2 linked regions of the Macaca fascicularis genome follow. The protein of the gene in region 1 interacts with the protein of each later gene in a biochemical or structural test. Links are inferred from orthologs where the notes say so. Each region holds a gene or a part of one and is shown on either strand. Other genes may lie near its edges.

What was found.
Region 2: the proteins of VDR (region 1) and HR form a complex in vitro, tested with the Homo sapiens proteins (2 studies listed by BioGRID and IntAct). The link is inferred for Macaca fascicularis from reciprocal best matches to the Homo sapiens genes VDR and HR.

What each region holds. Positions count from the first base shown.
Region 1 is NC_088385.1:54,589,486-54,593,287, forward strand, and holds part of VDR (vitamin D3 receptor), read right to left. Parts: intron 761-3,802; coding exon 609-760; intron 409-608; coding exon 292-408; intron 1-291.
Region 2 is NC_088382.1:25,200,554-25,205,054, reverse strand, and holds the start of HR (lysine-specific demethylase hairless), read left to right. Parts: upstream 1-1,628; 5' UTR 1,629-1,929; coding exon of another isoform or gene 1,930-2,034; 5' UTR 2,035-2,206; intron 2,207-3,423; 5' UTR 3,424-3,464; coding exon 3,465-4,070; intron 4,071-4,501. Other genes in the region: protein HRURF, read left to right, coding at 1,930-2,034. UniProt on the Homo sapiens protein: Histone demethylase that specifically demethylates both mono- and dimethylated 'Lys-9' of histone H3. May act as a transcription regulator controlling hair biology (via targeting of collagens), neural activity, and cell cycle.

The sequences.
Region 1 (3,802 bases):
TGGGAACGCGCAGGGCCGTCTGTGGCTCGAGGAACCCTGCTTATCTAGTTTCTCAGAATACCCCCTACGAATCGCCTGCAAACTCTGTAAGGCAGAGCCAAGGGCGGTGAGGGGCACCTCAGCATCCACACACCACTGGGGCTCTGCAAATCAGCAAAGTAGGCATTTCCCTCTCTGCCTCTCCTTTTGCTACATCTCCCTTCAGGTTGCCCAGCTGGCCCTCAGCAGGTCTTCATCCTTCACGCTCCCTGCTCCCCAGGTCCCCAAGCTCCTCCCAGCCTGGCCCCATACCTGGGGAGACGATGCAGATGGCCATGAGCAGAACATGCTCCTCCTCATGCAAGTTCAGCTTCTTCAGTCCCACCTGGAACTTGATGAGGGGCTCAATCAGCTCCAGGTTGTGTCCAGCTGTGAGAGACAATGGCCAGGTACTGTGGGCAGAGCTGAGGAGCCGCCCACCCACCTCCAACCCCATGGGTCGGACCCTCACCCTTCTCTCCCTGTTGGTGCGTAACTCCCTCCCATGTGTCTGATTGGAGCCCAAACCCCAGGAGGGGTAGACACAGACTCTGGGCGCTGGAAAAGGTGGAGGTGGAGTCCAGGCATACCTTTGGTCACGTCACTGACGCGGTACTTGTAGTCCTGGTTGCCACAGGTCCAGGACATGTCGTCCATGGTGAAGGATTCATTGGAGCGTAACATGATGACCTCAATGGCACTTGACTTCAGCAGCACGATCTGGTCCTCAGAGGTGAGGTCTCTGCGGGGGAAGGAGGAAAGGAGGTCAGGTTACCAGTCAAGGCCTTCCAGACACACAAATCAGTTTAGCATTTTGACAGGTATACACCTGCTGGGCGCCAACATGTGCCCTGGGTCTTTCATCGAGGAGCTTGCAGCCTGGCTGGAAGGGACAAGAGTGTTCCTTGAAAGAGAACAGTTCAACACTGTGATCATGTGCCAAGGCCGGAAGTGAAGTAGCTCAGTTACTAAGACAAGGAAAACCCAGAGGCCAAGCAGCCAGAGCTGTGAGGCACAGGAAGACGGAGCCCAGGGAAGCTCCCAGCATTGAGGCATGAATACGGCGGTCTGCAAAAGGTAGGACCACAGTATCTTCAAAAGCACCCAAGTTTTCTCCTCCTCTCCCTCCTCCTGTCCTCCAGTCCTTCTCAGTAGTAAATTCAGCCAGCTTTGTCTCCAGGATGTCTCTCGAGCTGCTGATCTTATTTCCACTCCTACCAGGAGTGCTCTGGTTCAGAGCTCCAGCGTGTTTTCCAATAGCCTCTTACGGGAATCTCAGACTTGTGTCTCCCCAGTCTGTCATTCATCTTTCTTACCACTGCTGCAGGTCAATGTCCTCTTGTGCTCAGAAATCCTCACTGACTCTCAACACCCTAGGTTCAGGCCCATACTCCCTAACTTGGCTCCAACCTCTCATTCCAACTCCCTTTCCCATGGTAAACTCCACCAACCTTCCATTCTAGCGGCATCATGCCACTCCACATTCAGATGCTGTGTGTTCTCACTGTGCCTTTTTTGTTTTTCTTGAGACAGGATCTCACTCTGTTGCTGAGGTTAGAGTACGGTGTTTGATAATAGCATGTTATAGCCTCAAACTCCTGGGCTCAAGTGAGTCTCCCATCTCAGCCTTCCAAATAGCTAAGACTACAAGCATGCACCACCATGCTCAGCTAATTTTCTTTTATTATTATTTTTAGAGACAGTGTCCTGTTCTGTCACACAAGCTGGAGTACAACAGAATGATTATGGCTCACTGCAGCCTCAAACTCCTGGGCTCGAGCAATCCTCCTGCCTCAGCCTCTTAAGTAGCTGGGACTACAGGTGCATACCACCACACCTAGCTAATTTTTAATTTTTTTTTTTGTAGAGATGGTGTCTCACTATGTGGCCCAGGCTGGTCTCAAACTCCTGGCCTCATGTGATCCTCTCATCATGACCTCCCAAAGCACTGGGGTTACAGGTGTGAGCCACTGTACCCAGTCATCACCACGCCTTTGAGCATACTACAGCTCCAGCCAGGAATACCTTTCTAATGCTCCATTTTGTTTTTCTGGTCCTGAATCCACTGTGTTTTCCCTTGGAGCCCCGCACCCTCTGACTCTTCAGCACAGTTAGGGCCATGTCTTTGTGACGCATTGAACACTGCTGGTGCTCTTATTTTGCCCTTCTCCTCCAGTTCTGCTCTTTACATGCTTGTTTTCTACTTTTTTTTTTTTTTTTTTTTTTTTAAGACAGAGTCTTGCTCTGTTGCCCAGGCCGGAGTGCAGTGGTGCAGTCTTGGCTCACTGCACCCTCCACCTCGCAGGTTCAAGCAGTTGTCCTACCTCAGCCTCCTGAGTAGCTGGGATTACAGGCACCCACCACCATGCCTAGCCAATTTTTGTATTTTTAGTAGAGACAGGGTTTCGCCATGTTAGTCAGGCTGGTCTCAAACTCCTGACCTCAGATGATCTGCCCACCTCAGTCTCCCAAAGTGCTGGGATTATGGCGTGAGCCACTGCACCCAGCCACTTGTTTTCTACTCTTATTTGTAAGTTACTTGGGGGCCAGCACCTCCTCTTAATCACCTTACTGCTGCCCACACAATGATCATTGAGCCCTCAGCACAACAAGAGGATTAATAGAGATGCGTTGATGAGTTGAGAGGCCAATGACTAGTTCCACTATTCTGAGTCATGATTGGGCTTGTCTGAACAACGGCGAGGAAAAGGCAGGGCTCACAAATCAACTTGCTTCTGGCTTTTACTCTCTTTCTCTTCCTGACTGTCTACTTCCTTCTGGATATCCTGTAGATAGGCTGTCATCCCCTTGATGGCTGCATGTTTGTATATAAAGTCAGGAAGCCGATATTGACTGATGAGAGTGTTGTATCAATGGGTGATAGATGGTGGGGAATGAGAAGGCTTGCATGATCAGGATGGCCAGCAAAGGATCTATATTGAAAAAAATCACAAAGTGCTAGAGTTGGAGGGCCCCTCTTAGGAGCTCTTAGAGGTGGCTCCTACATAACCACTGTAGGACTCTCCTAGGGTCAGGGAGCTCAGGGCCTCTGGACACAGCCATGGAGTTGTTAGCACCGAGATTAATGGCCTCTTCTATTGAGCTACAACCCACGTGATGGTACACTCATTTGTGGTTTACAGTTTTGTACTCAAGAAACCCAGAACCAGACTTCTTCACTAGCCATGGGACTTCCTTCGAACCATAGCTAATAGAGTTTTTTAAAAAGGAAAACTACTGTGTCCTCCTTCAGATAGTCTAATGACACAATGTCTAAACATCTCACCATCCTTGTCACTTTTCTCTAGATACTCAATCCACATTTAAAAAACAAAAATGAACACCATCCCCATTTTTGATTTGACTCATTATACAAGTAAAACATACTCATTATCAAATCTTTGGAAAATACATAAAAATGTAAAAACAAATTAAAATTGCTCATAACCACACTTTACATTTCGGTGTATTTTCTTCCTGTCTTTTTTTTCTTATTTTTGTTTTTATTTATTTTAATTTTTTTTTTTTTTTTTTTTTTTTTGAGATAGAGTCTTGCTCTGTCGCCCAGGCTGGAGTGCAGTGGCGTAATCTCGGCTCACTGCAACCTCTGCCTCCTGGGTTCAGGCAATTCTCCTGTCTCAGCCTGCGGAGGAGCTGGGACTACAGGCATGAGCCACCACACCCGGCTAATTTTGGTATTTTTAGTAGAGATGGAGTTTCACCATGTTGGCCAGGCTGGTCTTGAACTCCTGACCTCAAGTGATCTGCCCGCCTCGGCCTCCCA
Region 2 (4,501 bases), on another chromosome or scaffold:
CTCCCACAAGCTTCGGCTGCTGAGGAGGGAGGCCAGAGGACACAGATGGGGGACCACAGGCACACCCCAGTCCCTCACCTTCACCCCTGGAGCCAGGCTGGAAGTGGGAGGCCGGGCCTCAGAGCCTGGGGCCTCCAGTCCATGTTAGACCCTCTACAAGCATCTCCCCTGGCACACTCAGGTCCCAGCCACCCTCAGGGGAGCTGGGGAGGAAGGGAGTGTTACTCAGTCATGTAAACAACCTCTACCAGCCTGCCTTGCCACAGAACTGGCCTCTGGGGGGAGGCCAGGGGCAGGGTGAATCGATGCCAACACAGCCCAAGTCCGGCCCAGTGCCCGCTCCTTTAGGACCCTGCTCCCCAGGACCCCCACTATTCTCAATTGGTAGAAGGCTCTAGGCCTTGCTCATCCCTTAGGAGGAAGGCTTCGGGCTCTTCAGGGCTTCCCTCTGTGGGGATGGTGGTGTGACTTGGGACCAAGCTAGAGGCATCCAGAACCCATGGCTTCCATGGGATGGGAAAGAGGGAGTGCAGCTTCTGTCCCAGGCAGGCTGAGGATGGCTTCCGAAGGGAGCCAGGGTAGCTGAGGGTGGGAGGTGGGTGCCTGAGGGGAAGGGAAGCGCCCGTTGGGCGTGTGGGTTTCTGTGTGAGTCTGAATCTGTCTGTGTGTGTTTGAATCTGTCTGTTTGTGTCTGCACTGGAACCACCCCCGCAGTGGAGCCGGGATGCTTCCTCGGGTGGAGGGTGCCCTGCTTTTCCATTTCCTCTCCTCCTCTCTGTGCTCTCCCGGGAGCCACTCCCATGGGCGCCTCTCCAGCCCCTGGCCTGGAAGCACCAGGAACCCTGGGGATGGGGCAAACACTCACAGCCCGGGGTCTGGAGCCGGTGTGGGAGCTCATCTGGGCCCATGACCTCTCCAGACATTTGGCGAAATCAAGGCCCTTAGACCAGGGACAGACCCGAGCCCAGGCCCTCCCAGAGGTCCTAGGCCGCAACCCTTTGTGCCCTTGGGCTCTGGAAGGGGTTTGGGGTGGAAGATGGCAAAGAGCAGCTTGACCAGGTGAGGATGAGGCAGGGCAGACACAGGCCAGTGGGGCGTGCCATGTGCCAGAGCTGGAGATGACCAGGAGCCAGTGGCCCGGCAGGCACAGCCCGGCTGGCGTGGGCCAGAGCGCCCATCACTGACCCGTGAGAACTCGTCTGCCCCTGCCAGCTCTGGCACTGCCCCCTCCCAGCCACCCCGCCCTAGCACCCTGGGGGGCACCCCGCCCCACCGTGGCCTGGTCCGGCCCCTCCCGCCCTTTGCTCCAGTTCCCGGGCTTGGCACCTATAGTGGAGGTGCCGCCCGCCTGCCAGGCTCCGGGGCCGGGCCCACGGGAGGGTGGGGCGGCTGGGAAGCTGGCACGCTGCCCCGGGGGAGCCTCTCTCGGCAGGCGCCCGGGTGCGGCGGGGGGGAGGGGGAACAAAGGGCTCATTCTCCCCGTGCGCAGCCGGTGGCATCGCCGGGGCGTTGGCGGAAGCCCCCGGGGCCCGGGAGGGGGCAGGCCCAGGCGCGGCCGCCGAATCACGGGCTCCTGTTTCCCGCAGGGTGCTGGAGGAGGAAACCGGCGGAGCAGCTTCCCCACTCTCAGTTGCGCGTCTGGCGATGGCGATCAGAGGTCCTGCTGCGCTCTCCGCCGCGCTCTACCTCCATTAGCCGCGCTGCGCGGTACTGCGCCCTCGCCGGTGCCTCTCTCCTGGGTCCCAGGATCGGCACCCCCATCCAGGCACGACCCCCTCCCCCGGCCCCTCGGCCTTTCCCCCCACTCGGCCATCTCCGACCCGGGGCGCGTGTTCCCCCCGGCCCGGCGCCTTCTCTCCCTCCGGGGGCACCCGCTCCCTAGCCCCGGCCCGGCCCTCCCCGCGGCGCAGCACGGAGTCTCGGCGTCCCATGGCGCAACCCACGGCCTCGGCCCAGAAGCTGGTGCGGCCGATCCGCGCGGTGTGCCGCATCCTGCAGATCCCGGAGTCCGACCCCTCCAACCTGCGGCCCTAGAGCGCCCCCGCCGCCCCGGGGAAAGGAGAGCGCGAGCGCGCTGAGCAGAGCGGGAGAACGCATCCTCGCCCGCCGGCCGGGAGGCCCCGGAGCTGGCCCATGGGGAGCAGGCGCCCGGTGCCGGCCACGACGACCGCCACCGCCTGCGCCGCGACCGGCCGGTGAAGCCCAGGTAAGCACCAGGAGCGCGCCGCCTAGGGACACTCGTGGAGGGGGATTTCTGAGCCGAGCCTGCGGTGCCCGTACGGAGTGAATTCCCCGTGCCCCTCTGGGCTGGGCCACCCATTCTGACACCTGAAAGTTAGGATGCCCGACGCGGCCAGACCACGGCAGAGCCGTGGCTCCAGAAAACCTGGGCGCCCTGTGCCACTGCGCCGTCACCTCCTGCCTGGGGCTTCGTCGCGCTGGCCGAGGGGACCGCGCCAAGAGAGCGCTGCCGCTCTAGTGCCACCTGTCATACTGGTCCCTTGTACGCACGTTCAATTTTCCCTCCCTTGCCTCTCTCTGGGGCCCAGCCCGCTTTCCCCGCCTCCTTCCCTCTCCCCTCCCCGCCAAGCTGAAGTTTCCAGCGGCGGTGGCGGCTGCCCTGGCACTGCTGGCAGGGCTAGGGCAACTTGACCCATCCAGCTGAGGCTTCTTAATCCCCCTCCCCTGTGCCGGCGCGTTCTTCCCGCTGGGGGCCAGGGCGGGGTTCCTAGCCCCCTGCAGTTGTCCTGGGACTCTGCTTGAGAAGCTGAGAAACTGCAGGGCTCTGGGAAGAGGCTGACTCAGGGCCGCCCAGGTGTAGAGAGAGACACAGCCAGCGGCCCTGGCTGGCAGCTTTCCCCAGTGACTCCAGCCTGCCAGGCCTGCACTTCCCATGGCTACAAACCTGGCTGGGGCTGTAGGCTAGGGTTGGGCTAGCAGCACCCCCAAAACCACTGATTGCAGGATGAGAAGAATCCTCTGAGACGACCCAACCCTCAAGGGCACACTGAGGCCCAGAGGAGTGACAAGACTTGCCCAGGGCCATGCAGCATAGGACAGAGTCAGGCTCAGGATCCAGCCTTTCTCCTCGTTCAGGGCCTTCCACTTTCTGTCCTGCCTCATGGGTTGTGAGCAGATTCCTAGCTCCGTGAGGCCAGGACATGCCCTACTAGCCATGGCAGCCTCCGCTGAGGGGCACTGGCCTAGGTGGAATTTGGGGAAGGGATGATATCCCCATACTGGAGGAACAAGATGCGTCCGGCTGCATGTGGAGAGGCAGCACGGTGCCCAGTTGTGGGCTGGCACTTGCCTTACTGGTTTGAGCTGCCTCGGTGCTGCCAGGGCAGTGCCCACTCTGTGCCAGGCAGTAAGGTGCTTGGGGAATGTGCCCCAGAAGCTCATGCTTTGATGGTTATGCTCCAGGGACCCCCCCTCTGGGAGAGCCCCATGAGGGCAGGAGAGTGATGGAGAGTTCGCCCAGCTTCCTGAAGGGCACCTGGGAGAAGACGGCCCCAGAGAACGGCATCGTCAGACAGGAGCCCGGCAGCCCGCCTCGAGATGGCCTGCACCGTGGGCCGCTGTGCCTGGGAGAGCCTGCTCCCTTTTGGGGGGGCATCCCAAGCACCCCAGACTCCTGGCTTCCCCCTGGCTTCCCCCAGGGCCCCAAGGACACGCTCCCACTTGTGGAGGGCGAGGGCCCCCAGAATGGGGAGAGGAAGGTCAACTGGCTGGGCAGCAAAGAGGGACTGCGCTGGAAGGAGGCCATGCTTACCCATCCGCTGGCATTCTGCGGGCCAGCGTGCCCACCTCGCTGTGGCCCCCTGATGCCTGAGCATAGTGGTGGCCATCTCAAGAGTGACCCTGTGGCCTTCCGGCCCTGGCACTGCCCTTTCCTTCTGGAGACCAAGATCCTGGAGCGAGCTCCCTTCTGGGTGCCCACCTGCTTGCCACCCTACCTAGTGTCTGGCCTGCCCCCAGAGCGTCCATGTGACTGGCCCCTTGCCCCACACCCCTGGGTACACTCCGGGGGCCAGCCCAAAGTGCCCTCTGCCTTCAGCTTAGGCAGCAAGGTGAGTGCAGGGGCAGAGAGGGTACCTGTGGCTCTGGCCTTGCAAAGTGGCTCGGTGGTCCCCAAGCTGCCCTTCCACTGTGATGAAAAGAGAAGGCAGCACCGAGGTAGAGGGGTCTATCAGCTTGGAGCTGTCCCAGGCCCACAGTCAACCCCAAGCAAGCCCTTCCCTGAGCAGCTCCATCTCTCTAGGCCTCCCCTGCCCTCAGGTCATTGCAGCCACTGACTCATCCATTGTCTGCCTAGGATAAGGTCCTGGGAACTGTGGCCTTGGAATGTGTGGCTTGTCCTGGGAGGAGATGGGCGAGCAGACAAGGCCTCTCTATCTAAGAGTGGGATGTGCAGGGGACCCCATGGCCCATGTCTAGGGTACCTCCCCCATAGATGACTCCCACTCCCAGGGATGAGATTTTAGAACACTTAAAACTCAGT